Kluyveromyces lactis: one gene and its partners. The protein of the gene in region 3 purifies or fractionates together with the protein of the main gene of each other region. This does not show direct contact. Links are inferred from orthologs where the notes say so. Each region holds a gene or a part of one and is shown on either strand. Other genes may lie near its edges.

Evidence for each region. Proteins that work in one complex are often made in the same cells at the same time.
Region 1: the proteins of SCC2 (region 3) and IRR1 purify together in Saccharomyces cerevisiae (affinity purification with western blotting; 5 studies listed by BioGRID, with this or other methods). This does not show direct contact. The link is inferred for Kluyveromyces lactis from reciprocal best matches to the Saccharomyces cerevisiae genes SCC2 and IRR1.
Region 2: the proteins of SCC2 (region 3) and SMC3 purify together in Saccharomyces cerevisiae (affinity purification with western blotting; 4 studies listed by BioGRID, with this or other methods). This does not show direct contact. The link is inferred for Kluyveromyces lactis from reciprocal best matches to the Saccharomyces cerevisiae genes SCC2 and SMC3.

Annotation. Positions count from the first base shown.
Region 1 is NC_006042.1:2,572,965-2,576,722, reverse strand, and holds the start of IRR1 (cohesin subunit IRR1), read left to right. Parts: upstream 1-1,002; coding exon 1,003-3,758. Other genes in the region: ATG45 (Atg45p), read left to right, coding at 1-341. UniProt on the Saccharomyces cerevisiae protein: Component of cohesin complex, a complex required for the cohesion of sister chromatids after DNA replication. The cohesin complex apparently forms a large proteinaceous ring within which sister chromatids can be trapped.
Region 2 is NC_006037.1:23,252-27,009, forward strand, and holds the start of SMC3 (cohesin subunit SMC3), read right to left. Parts: upstream 2,448-3,758; coding exon 1-2,447. Other genes in the region: KLLA0_A00352g (pyridoxal 5'-phosphate synthase subunit PdxT), read right to left, coding at 3,331-3,758. UniProt on the Saccharomyces cerevisiae protein: Involved in chromosome cohesion during cell cycle and in DNA repair. Central component of cohesin complex. The cohesin complex is required for the cohesion of sister chromatids after DNA replication.
Region 3 is NC_006040.1:1,532,809-1,536,528, forward strand, and holds the start of SCC2 (cohesin-loading factor complex subunit SCC2), read left to right. Parts: upstream 1-773; coding exon 774-3,720. Other genes in the region: pseudouridine synthase PUS5, read right to left, coding at 1-419. UniProt on the Saccharomyces cerevisiae protein: Plays a structural role in chromatin and is involved in sister chromatid cohesion. Forms a complex with SCC4 required for the stable association of the cohesin complex with chromatin, which may act by hydrolyzing ATP from SMC1 and SMC3 heads.

The sequences.
Region 1 (3,758 bases), on a different chromosome or scaffold from region 3:
AAGATGTGGAATTGGATTTAAAACCTTTTAGATCTTCTATGTCACCTTCAGATCTTCAGATCGATCAGTTAGCAATCACTAGGCCAAGTAGCGAACAAGATTACATACACGTAACTTCAAGAGGTGAATTAAGCTCATCTGAGGACGTGGAATTAGATCCGAGAGTAACACAAGGTACAATTGATGATATTTTGGTAGATGATATTGACGAACAACAATCTCAACAAACTCTACTACAGGCAAGCTACTCTGATCAAAATGCCAAATATCCATCTTCATATAATCCGATACACGGACTCGTCGCAACTTTAAGACGTGCAACCACTTACTGGAAACGTTGATGGTTAATTTTATGCTATTTCTTCTTTACCTATTCTCCTTCTAATTGATTTTTCTTCCTTTCACGCTAATATACACTGCTTTTTGCTCAACTTCTTCTATCCAGTAAAAATCTTCTGAACACATATTCATCAAACTACAATAATTACTATTTAAACCTCGTGCTATTTCTCTTCTTTAATTTATTTAGCCTCTAACTTCTTTTTTTTCTCAGGATGTAATACAGTCTGTCGGTTTAAATCGATTACGACGATTGCTTCAAAACACACTCTCTTCCCATGCTTTGGTAGCCTCAAATGAAAGCATACAAAAGTCATCTCATTTGAATGAAAATTGCTCTTAGATAAAGTTCATGGATGTCTTCGTAAAACAGGTCATTTAACTTTAGATAGAGAAATTGATATAGGTCTGTGATTTAACAATGTAACACTGTTGTTTCACTTCTTAACACAGCTGCCGTTATTAGGCCAAAATATAATACTTACATTTTACATGGATTCGAGTAAAAAAACGCGTCGCGTAAATCTAAAAAACTATATGTATGAAAGTAAAAAAAAAGAGGCGACGAACAACAAATCAAGGAAAAAAACAGCTCTCACTCATAGTACATTAACAACAACAGTCACTTACTAGAACCATTCAGCCTCGTTCCACTGTCTACCTATGCCAGTGAGAAGGTCAACCAGGATAAGGACCAAATCCTCTTATAGTGAACAATCTGGATCAGAATCGGACTCTGAGCACGAAACTATAGGATCCATTGTCACCGACGATCGAATAAATATCGAAAACACGGATAATCAGAAAGAAGAAGAAGCTTTATCACAAGGTTCTAGTAGTTCAGAAGAAGACGATGACGCCAATGATGACGACTATGTTGCCCCTGGCTCCAGAAAAAGACCAAATTCCGGAGGTAGGCGCGTTGCAAGCAACAAGAGAACGAAATTAAAACAAAACGAGAAAGGCCGACCATCTAATAATATATCCAGTGCTGTTTCAAGAAAAGAACAGGAAGCATACATATCATTGCAGAATGAATTCAAACCCACAGAGCTTTTTGAAATTCTAAGCAGCTCCGACGATTTTTCTTGCGAAGAACTTGCCAGTGACTGGTTGGATTCCTATATAGATAACCGAAATGTCAGCTTAGCGAATCTCATAAATTTCTTATTAGATTGTTCTGGATGTTTCACTCATATTGGTGAACACGATGTAGCTAATAATGACTCTTCGAATGAAACAATAGGGGAAATACAAATTATGTTCCATGAGCAAAAAAAACATGAGTTCCATTTATTACTATCGGCAACACACAAGAAGGCAAAGTTCCGTCCTTTGAATGATAATTTTAACATTTTCATGACCACATTAATGGACCTAGCCATTGAGAAAGAGATGATATATGTTGAGAATGAAAAAGAAGAAAGTGACGAGATTGTGATCGAAACAAATCCATTAATTATTGACTTACTTACATGGATACCTTCCATGTCAGTATCAAAAATACGATGTTTGCGATATGTTTCAGCTAAAGCCATCTTCTGTTTCCAAGATTCTCTCGCACGAGCTTCTGCCAGCTTAGAAGCAGAGGTGTTATTTAAACTGAGGAAACAGTTGACACTGGAGAGAAAAAAGAAAAAGCCCAAGTCCAAAACTATGGAGACGCTAGAATCTTCTATTTCTGATGCTGAAGCTACGAAAACTGTGATAGAAAACACTATTGATAACATAATAAAGCTCTGTTTTGTTCATCGTTTCAAAGATGTAGATGAAAATATCAGATCCCTTGCGATATCCTACTTGTTAGATTGGATTGAAAACAATCCAGACTACTTTTTTAAGGTAACCTTCCTCAAATACTTCGGTTGGTTGCTATCTGATAGCAGTAATTCAGTCCGGTTACAAGTTATAAGGTCCCTTCATGACCTAATTAAGTTCTCCAATAAGAGAAACAAAAATACTGTCGATAACGCTGCCCTAAGACAATTTTTCGAAAGATTCAAAGATCGAATGTTAGAAATAGCTGGCAGAGACATCGATATTCAAGTAAGATTAACCTCAGTTCAAGTACTTTCGTCGATTAATGGGTTGGGTTATCTGGATGACCATGAAATAATAGACATCATTAGCTTGATCTTTTTTGATCATGAAGTAAAAGTATCTTCTTCGTCAAGGGACGTTAAATTCTTGAACGAGGTTACCAAATTCTTGGCAAACATTGTTTCTGAAAAAACGGAAGAGTTTCTAATAAACAATGAAAGGTTTAAGGTTCCGGTAATTTCGGTAACGGAAGAGCAGTTTGTTAAGGTGGGTGTGTTAATGAGATTATTACACAATTCATTGTTAAATCATATCAACTCCACTAGTAATTTAGAAGGTTATGCAAAAGTACCACCGGACAAAATCAAACTCTTACAGCAAGCGGCGGAATTTTTATCCCCCAAGTTTTACAACTTAATTGAAACTATATCAAAACTACTCTATGAAGAGGGAAATTTCGATGGCAGCACAATTCATGCTGATGCAGATGATTTTTCCAATGATCTGGGTGATATCAAATTGTTCCTACCAGAAACTGATAACAATGTCCTATTTTATGCCACTGTGTTGGGCGGCTTATGCACAGGCGGCATACAGTACAACAAAGGCCAGGACAGACAAGCCGTGACACAGTTAATTCTTCCAGAGTTAGAAGATCTTTTCAAGAAAATGAATCTTGATTCTGATCAGATATATACTCAACTACTAAATGTAATACAGCTATTAAACACAGAAGAATGGAATTCCAGTGAATCAAAGGATGTCATTTTTAATATCAATAAAACAATAACAAAACGATTTGAAAGCTCTCCAGTGGTTTTGAGCAACGCAAATGCCATTACTAAAACCTATAAGAGTTTAATTCCATATTTGGCATCCCTTCAAATACCAGAGGTAACTGGTTATTGGAAGTCATGTCTGATTAACGTGACATTATCATTCAAGAAGTTTATGGAATCATTTGACATAAAATCTGATAATTCAATAACAACATTATATCTGCAATATGTTAACAAACTTGTAATTTTGGGTAAGGAGTTCGCAATTGAAATTTCAGAAACGCTTTTGGATGACATTGTTGAAAAATTCTTGAAGCCGTTGAGTGAATTACTACCAAAGATTGATTCGGATGCCATATCTGTCCTAGATTTTAAGCTTTTCACCTCAATAGTTACTTGGAATTTAGCAACTTGGAGAGATGTTATCAAAAATAATGAAGAACCTATAGCTGTTTCACATACTACGCTGAATCAAATTAGAACGGTATTAGTCGAATTGCTGAATCTTTCTTCAAAGATCGATTCTAACCCTGAAATACAACACGACAAGAAATTCCATGTGCTTCATGTAATACTCTCTCCATTGTTAGATATTATCAT
Region 2 (3,758 bases), on a different chromosome or scaffold from region 3:
AAATTCAAAGACGTTTCTTTCGTTTGAATGCTATTGGATATAGCAAGTAACTCGGCTTTTTCATCTGCATCTAGTTCATTAACAAATGGTTTAGATATATCCGCAGCAAAGGCATTTGTACGTTCTCTACATTGTTCAAGCTCCGTATCGATTTTGTTTAGTCTCGCCTTCAAAGCTTTTATAGAGTCATCAATCGTAATTTTCTGAGACAGCTTTGCTTTCAACTGACTCCTAGCCTTTTCTATGCCTGCTTCATACGCATCTCTCTCTGCTGCAGCATCCTTAACAACATTGTTTAGGCCATCAATTTCCTGTTCGATACTCTGGAGCGCCTGTTTAATCTCTTGAAGCTCTACTTGAATTTTTTTATATTCTCTTTTCGATTGTTTGAAGTCTCGTAAAGTATCCAGTCTATTACTCTTGTACTGATCCAAGTAACCACCAGATAAAACACCTTTACTGTCTGCACGATCACCGTCTAAAGTTATAGCATTTAGTTTGTATTCTTTGGCAAGGGAAGCACCATCAATCAAGGATTTAACGACAAGAGTTCGGCCAAAAACCTGCTTGATCACTTTCTCAAATTTCACGTCATACTTGATCTTTTTGATTAGAGGTGTACATTGATTTTTCTCCAAGTTATTTGGATACGTAAAGTTGGTATCCACATGCAACTTATTGAGAGGAATAAATGTTACCCTTCCACCTTTCGTTGCAAACAATTCCTTAATTAATAAACTTGCGGTCTCTTCATTGTCAACAACAACATTGAAAAGGGAGTTGCCTCCCACGACTTCTGCACATATTTTGTATTTATCGCTTACCTTTATCAACTCGCCTACAGGGCCAAAAACATGCTCATGTAAATTTAACCTATTAACAATGTCATTGACATTTTGTAGACCAAGTGCTAAAGAACGATCAATTGTTTCATTCATATCTGACTCAAACCTTTTGACATCATTATCGAGAGAGGTGGAAATTGTTTGTAGTCTTTGTTCAGTTCTCCATAGCTGTTTTCTTTGATCGATTTTCGTCAAATATTCCTTCTTGGCTTGTGTTACTTTATTTTGCAAGTCTTCCTGCTGAGCAACAGATCCCATTCCATTTACTGAATCGGCTAGGTCTTCAATTTCAGCATTTAAATTCTCTAAATCATGCTGTAGTGTACTAAGTTGGCTAGTCAGTTGATCTTTTAATATATTAGATTTATTCAGCGACTGGTTTAATAAGTTAATTTGTTCTTGGATCCAGTCATTTCTTTCGTTTACCGTACGAAAATCTTCATACTTCCCTTTTTTTGATAATAATTCTCTTTGCCTCTTTGTGAGTTTCTCGATTTCTACTTTTAAGATTTCTGCTTCATTTGATAGTTTTTGGAATTTTGGTTGTACCTCGGCAATTGACGAGCAGTTAATCTCAATTTGTTTCTTTACTTCTCCGATTTCTTTGACATTTGATTCCAAATGCGCTTGTGAAGCATCCAATTGCATTTGAATATCGTTTAACCTAGTGTCTAAATCCGCCAATTCCCCAGCAACTTCTAGCTTCGATGCCTTTAACTGTGGTAGATCAGTAGACTGTTTTATTTTAATCTCACTTTCTAAAGAATTCATTCTCTTGTTGAGCTCTACTGCAAGCACTTCTCTTTTTTCCAATTCGTTAACATACTCAGAAGAATTTTCAATAATTGAATTGTACTCACCTTCAAGTTGTTCAATTTGGTTCGTAATATCGTTCAATTCCCTATCGTATAAGCAAAACTGTAAAACTTTTCGATCTCTATTTAGATTGTTGTACTTTTCCAATTCTTCCTTTTCATCGGACAATTCGCTCAACCGTTTGTCAAGTTCGTTTAATTCATTAGTGATTTTCGTTCTATCTCTCTCTGCTGCCTCCATCTTTTTCAAAGACTCTTTCAGTTTGTTTTCGAATGATTTTGCACCTACAACGTCCTCTAATAGATGCAGCCGTTCTAAATCTTTCGCGTTGGTCAAGGATATTATTCGCCCTTGCGGAACAATGTTGTAAGGATTCGAAGTTGAAAATCCTACATTTTCTAAAACTCTTCTAACGTCTTGTCTTGTTGAGTTCTTGTCATTAATCATGTATTCATCCTTCTTCAATCCCACTGTCCTTCTAATTCTGACCTCTCCAGTATCGTTTCTTAACGGTGCAAGCATTAAGTTCTCAGGATCATCAAAGATAATTTCAACGAATGCACTCATTACTTGCCCTGCACCTTGGTAGATAAAACCCTTCCTATCTTCACGTTTTAAGTTTGAATTCTCTTCGCTTAAGACGAACCTAATAGCTGCAAAGAAGTTCGACTTACCAGAACCGTTGGAACCGACAACAACATTGTGATGGGGTGAAAAATTCTCCACCACGGTCCGATTCTTGTAAGTCTTGAAGCCACTGATTATAACAGTTTTGATGTGAACCATTTCAACAGTGTTGTAGTCTGTCTTCTTGCCCTTGTAATTACTCTTATTCCTAGAGCTTTCTGATACAGGACGCGTAAACTTAACTTGTTTTGTATAATTTTGTATGTGTTTATGATATTCATTTTTTTTTATTAAAGAAGGACGCGTTTCATAGACAGTGTATAACATAAACAAATTTCAACTCGTTACCCTAACATGCTAACTTAAATGCAACGGTAAGCTTCCTTCTTCGAAATGTTCAAAGTATTTAAATGGATCCAATGTACGCTCGTCTTTACTAAGGCTTGATACGAAGTTAGCTGCTTTCCGATGTAAGTGTTTAAATGGATCATAAACTATGATCGGGTAACTACCAATGTAATAGGCGGTTAAGTATCAAGATGATACATAACGGGTGTTTCGGAATGAAATATCATTAACTAATCTGAATTATTATATAAGGAGGCATTAGATCTGGACAAGGACCATCAATACAGTCATGCCAGATCCCCAGGTGCATCAACATACACTACTGGATATATAGCTAATAAACGCTATGGATTCATCAGATACCAAAGATCTTAATTTAACAGCACGTGACTGGAAATACCAGCCACATCAACAATAAGGTATATTGAGAATCTGCTCCAACACTGAACAGGCATTGGACACTGTAGTCTAGTGGTTTAGGATACTCCCCTTCCATAACAATGATCTTCAGGATCATAGGCGAGGGAGTGACACGGGTTCGAATCCCGTCAGTGTCAATTTTTTCTTTTTTTCTTAAACGCATTTATTATTGAATAATTAATGACGCAAAGGGGCGAATTGGATAAAAGAATTTCGTTCTGAATTCAGCGTTTATTCAGACTTAATACATACAAACGATAGATATTTATTTGCATCAATTGTTTAGAACAAATTTCTGAATAAAATAGTTGTGGAATCTGGCATCATTATCGGACAATTCTGGATGGAAAGACGTTCCTAGAATGCGTCCTTGTTGACTGACTGCCACTATTGATCCATCTTTTAAAGTGTACAATGTCTCTACATCATCCTGAGATAATATCTCTTCTATAATTGGGGCTCTAATGAAGTAGACTTGGAAACCTGTGCAATCAGGAATAAATGAAGAAAAGTCACATGTTTCGATGAACGATTCAGCCTGACGACCAAACGCATTTCTTCTCACCTTTACCTTTAACAGGTCGAGCGAATTTACCAAGCTCGACTCATTGCTGAGTTGTTTAGCTAAAAAAATCAATCCAGCACAGGTCCCCCACACCGTTTTAGTGGGGTCGTGAACGAATTCAATCAAGGAATCAAAAA
Region 3 (3,720 bases):
GTTAGTGAGAATCCTTTATTCCCGCCATACCTTAGATTTCGACTAAATTGTTGTGCTGACTGTTTGTTTACAGCATATACTATTCCACCGGATACTGGTGTGTCAATCCTGTGGATGGGGTAGTACGATGGTTCATATGTACCGTCCTTCAGGATGCTTCCACTAGAGCTTTGAACAATATCCAATAACACTGGGGGATCATAGTCGTGAGTATTGTACCACGTTCGTTTGTCAGGTAATTGAGAAAGGGCCAAGGGTGGCTTATTAAAAATTACGTGGTGCTTGTCACGCCAGAGCTCTTGTACTTTTAAAGGGAATTCCACTTCACAATGTGTAGCCTTAGCGTTTGTCGACTCCGGGGAGACGATTTTAAAGATCTTCACGAAAGGGGGTTGTTTTATGAAGCCTCTACGTAGCATATCAATTAGTACTATGATTTAAGCAATGCAGATGTACAGGAACTAACGGTTTTCTCCTCTCAGCTACATTCATGACTACTTATGCTTCCCTCATCATTCTCATGATATTTTTCTCAAAACTGCAGCAGCCTTTTTCAAATCAAGAAAGCCGAATAGATATATAAATAATTAATGAGACGAATACTAGATCTCTACAGCAATGAACGGTCAAACGATTTCATCAAGTTGAAAGAAGCAACAGCAGATAGTTTACACCCGGAAGCTCTATTTCATCTGCTTTTCTCTGGGCATTATCATCTTCTTCAAATAATACTGCCTTTCCAGTAATATTCTGATTACTGAGCAGTGGCGGCTATGGCGAAAGGGTTTCCAGGCGAAACTGACAATGAGATTCCCAAACGCATCTCTGAAACACTGAAGTACCAGCCAATTAACCACATAGTACCGAAGTCAGGGCTATCTAATTTGCTGAGTTCTTCAATAACCGAAGATATCAGTATTTCATGTAACAGTGCGTTCGGTTCACCCCCATCTGAACATTGGCTATACCCTCACCCTATCGATTTCGACCCATTTAACGAAGGCGACAGGGACCCCATTTTATTCAGGAGACCCAATAATATTACTTTAAGAGATGAGTCTCAAGAAACTGCTCCTGATCTGAAGCTTCTGAAAAATCTTCCACAGCTAGGAATCAGGTGCCTGACTGTTACAAGCCTGGTCGATTCTGCTAGTATTGTTGCGAATGTTGCTGGAAATCAGAACACAGCTACTAAAAAAAGAAGGCTAGAAGCAGGGGAAGACAAGGTATTGCTGAATGAGCTGGATTCCAAACGGATTCAAATTTGTGTACAATCTAATCCGATGAATGACTTGGAAGTTGGAAAACTTTGTCTTGATCATCTTTCGAAATTGTTAGATTCTGTCGGACTCAATTCTGAAGGGAGTGTTAATGAAAACGCTAAATTCTGGAAGCCATTAGGTGATGTTTACGTTGCTACTTCGGAGGCTATAGATGCAATATCGTTGACGATAAATAAAGTTCTAGGATTTCCGATGGTATTTGAGTATATTGATGTTCAATCTCTTAAAAAAATACTGGGTCTTTGCACTAGAAATATCAAAAGAATCCTAGCATATCAATCAGACAATGAATCTGAGTCCTTAGATCTGAATAACCTTACGTTTGGTTGCGCATTTTTAATTCTTGAAGTTATGATGATAGATCTCAAATCCGCAAACCTTCAGTTAGAAGAATATTACAATGCTGTGTTCTCAGCGCTTGATAATGCGCTCGAGAAGTTACATGTTTCGGACAACTCAAGAGGTATTAATGCAGATATTGGAAATATATTCTTATTCATCAATTTATTGGAAAAGTTTGTCGCCTCTCAATCATACTTGGACGAAATGTTTTTGATCAAATCAGTGTGCATTTGCTGTGATATGCTACTACACAGATGCTATCAACACTTAAACACTAATGTGCTTTTATCGCAAGCGGAGCGGATAAAAGACCTTTCTCTTGGAATATTAATATCACTTTTTTCTGAGTATCCATCTCAGCGGCTATTTATTACGGAAGAATTATTATCACACGTGCATGATATAGTAGTCTCAAAATCCACTAAAAAACTGAAATTGGTCGATGAATTTGAGAATGGCTACGCATCGTATTTTACTGTCGCCCTTGTTGCCATGTTCCAGTCAATAAATGCTTTGCCTGATGCTGAGCTATTGTCAGATTTTACGTCTGAATTGCTTGAAAATGTACTGTCCGAGAATAATGCCGCAAGTTTGGAATTGAAAGGACTAATCGATAACGTCACAACAACTTTATTCGAAGGATTGATTACGAATCCTTTCAAATTCAAATCAATTGTGGAGATTTACATCCAAGATTTGCTAACTATGATAGGAAACCCGAAATGGGCGTATTCTCATCATTTATTAGAAGCTTTTTTGCCGAAATTGTTTCAGATATTCAGCCCTACGTATCAAGGAACAGGAAACTTCGAAGTGCTTGCTATTCAACTTGTCGGCCAAATTACTGCCACTTTGACAGACGTTAAACTGAGGGCTGCATCCGAGGAAAGTAGGGATGTAAAAAGGATATTTAATTTGCAAAATGAGTACAAAGAGTGTTTCGATTGGTTGGGTTCGCAGACCAAGACATATTTTTCCGATAGAGCATTGTGGAATGAATCACTTTTTTATATCAGTGAGATGTTAGATCAGAAGGAGATAGACAAAACAGACGCACAGGTAATGAATTTTGTTATACGTATAATAGCAAAAGAAATAAGGGAGACAGAAATAAGCGAGAAAGAAATAAGCGAGAAAGAAATAAATAATGGTATCGATGGTAATGAAAGAGTTCGGTCCCTTTACATGAAAATTGTTTCACTTAGTCCGTTGTTTAACTTTTATGAACCCGCTTTGAGGCTCATTCTTTCGTTATTGGATCAACAAAAAGTAAAACTTAAATCAGGAGCAGTTAAATGTTTGACCCTATTAGTATCAAAGGATCCTCAGATGTTAGATACTCCTTTTGTTCAGGAAACCATAAAAAACAGACTCTATGACTCTTCGGCTTCCGTTAGAGATGCAATTTTGGATCTTCTAGAGCAGGCCACAACCTACATTCAATTCTACCGAGAAATAAACTGTAACTTTGACGATGACAGTATAGCAGTTCGAAAACATGTTATGCGGATGAATGAAAAGATTCTTGATACAAGTTCCGACCTGAAAATAAAGACATTCGTTTTAGAAAAAGTCTTGAGACGAATTGAGGATGAAGAGGATGTTATCGTGGAAAATGCCAGGAAACTATTACTTCATAGACTAATTTTGAGACATAGTGCATCTGACTTGTCCGTAAAACTGCATAGATTTGATTTATCAGAAACCCTCGAGCTATTATCAACACTCATCGGTTATGGTGGCAAGACTGAGGAACTGTTGGAGTTCTTCTTTCATTTTTTCGTATTGAACCCCTCCATTCATAAGAATGAAGATACGAAGTCGATATTTGATGCTTTAAGAAATCTTGTTAATGTACTTATTGAAGAGATTACTGAGAATGCAGCATCTGCAGACGAACTGAGTGAATCGAATGCAAGAAATAGATATGACCTACTTTATTTTTTTGCCAATTGTCCGATCAATTTCATATCAAAACCGCATCTCTACTCACTCTTTCCATATCTTTCGTCAAACTTTAACGGTAAATGTTATTTACTGCTTTTGAAGGTCTTTCGCTCCTGCATTAAGAAACATAGCAATATCAAGCTCAAAT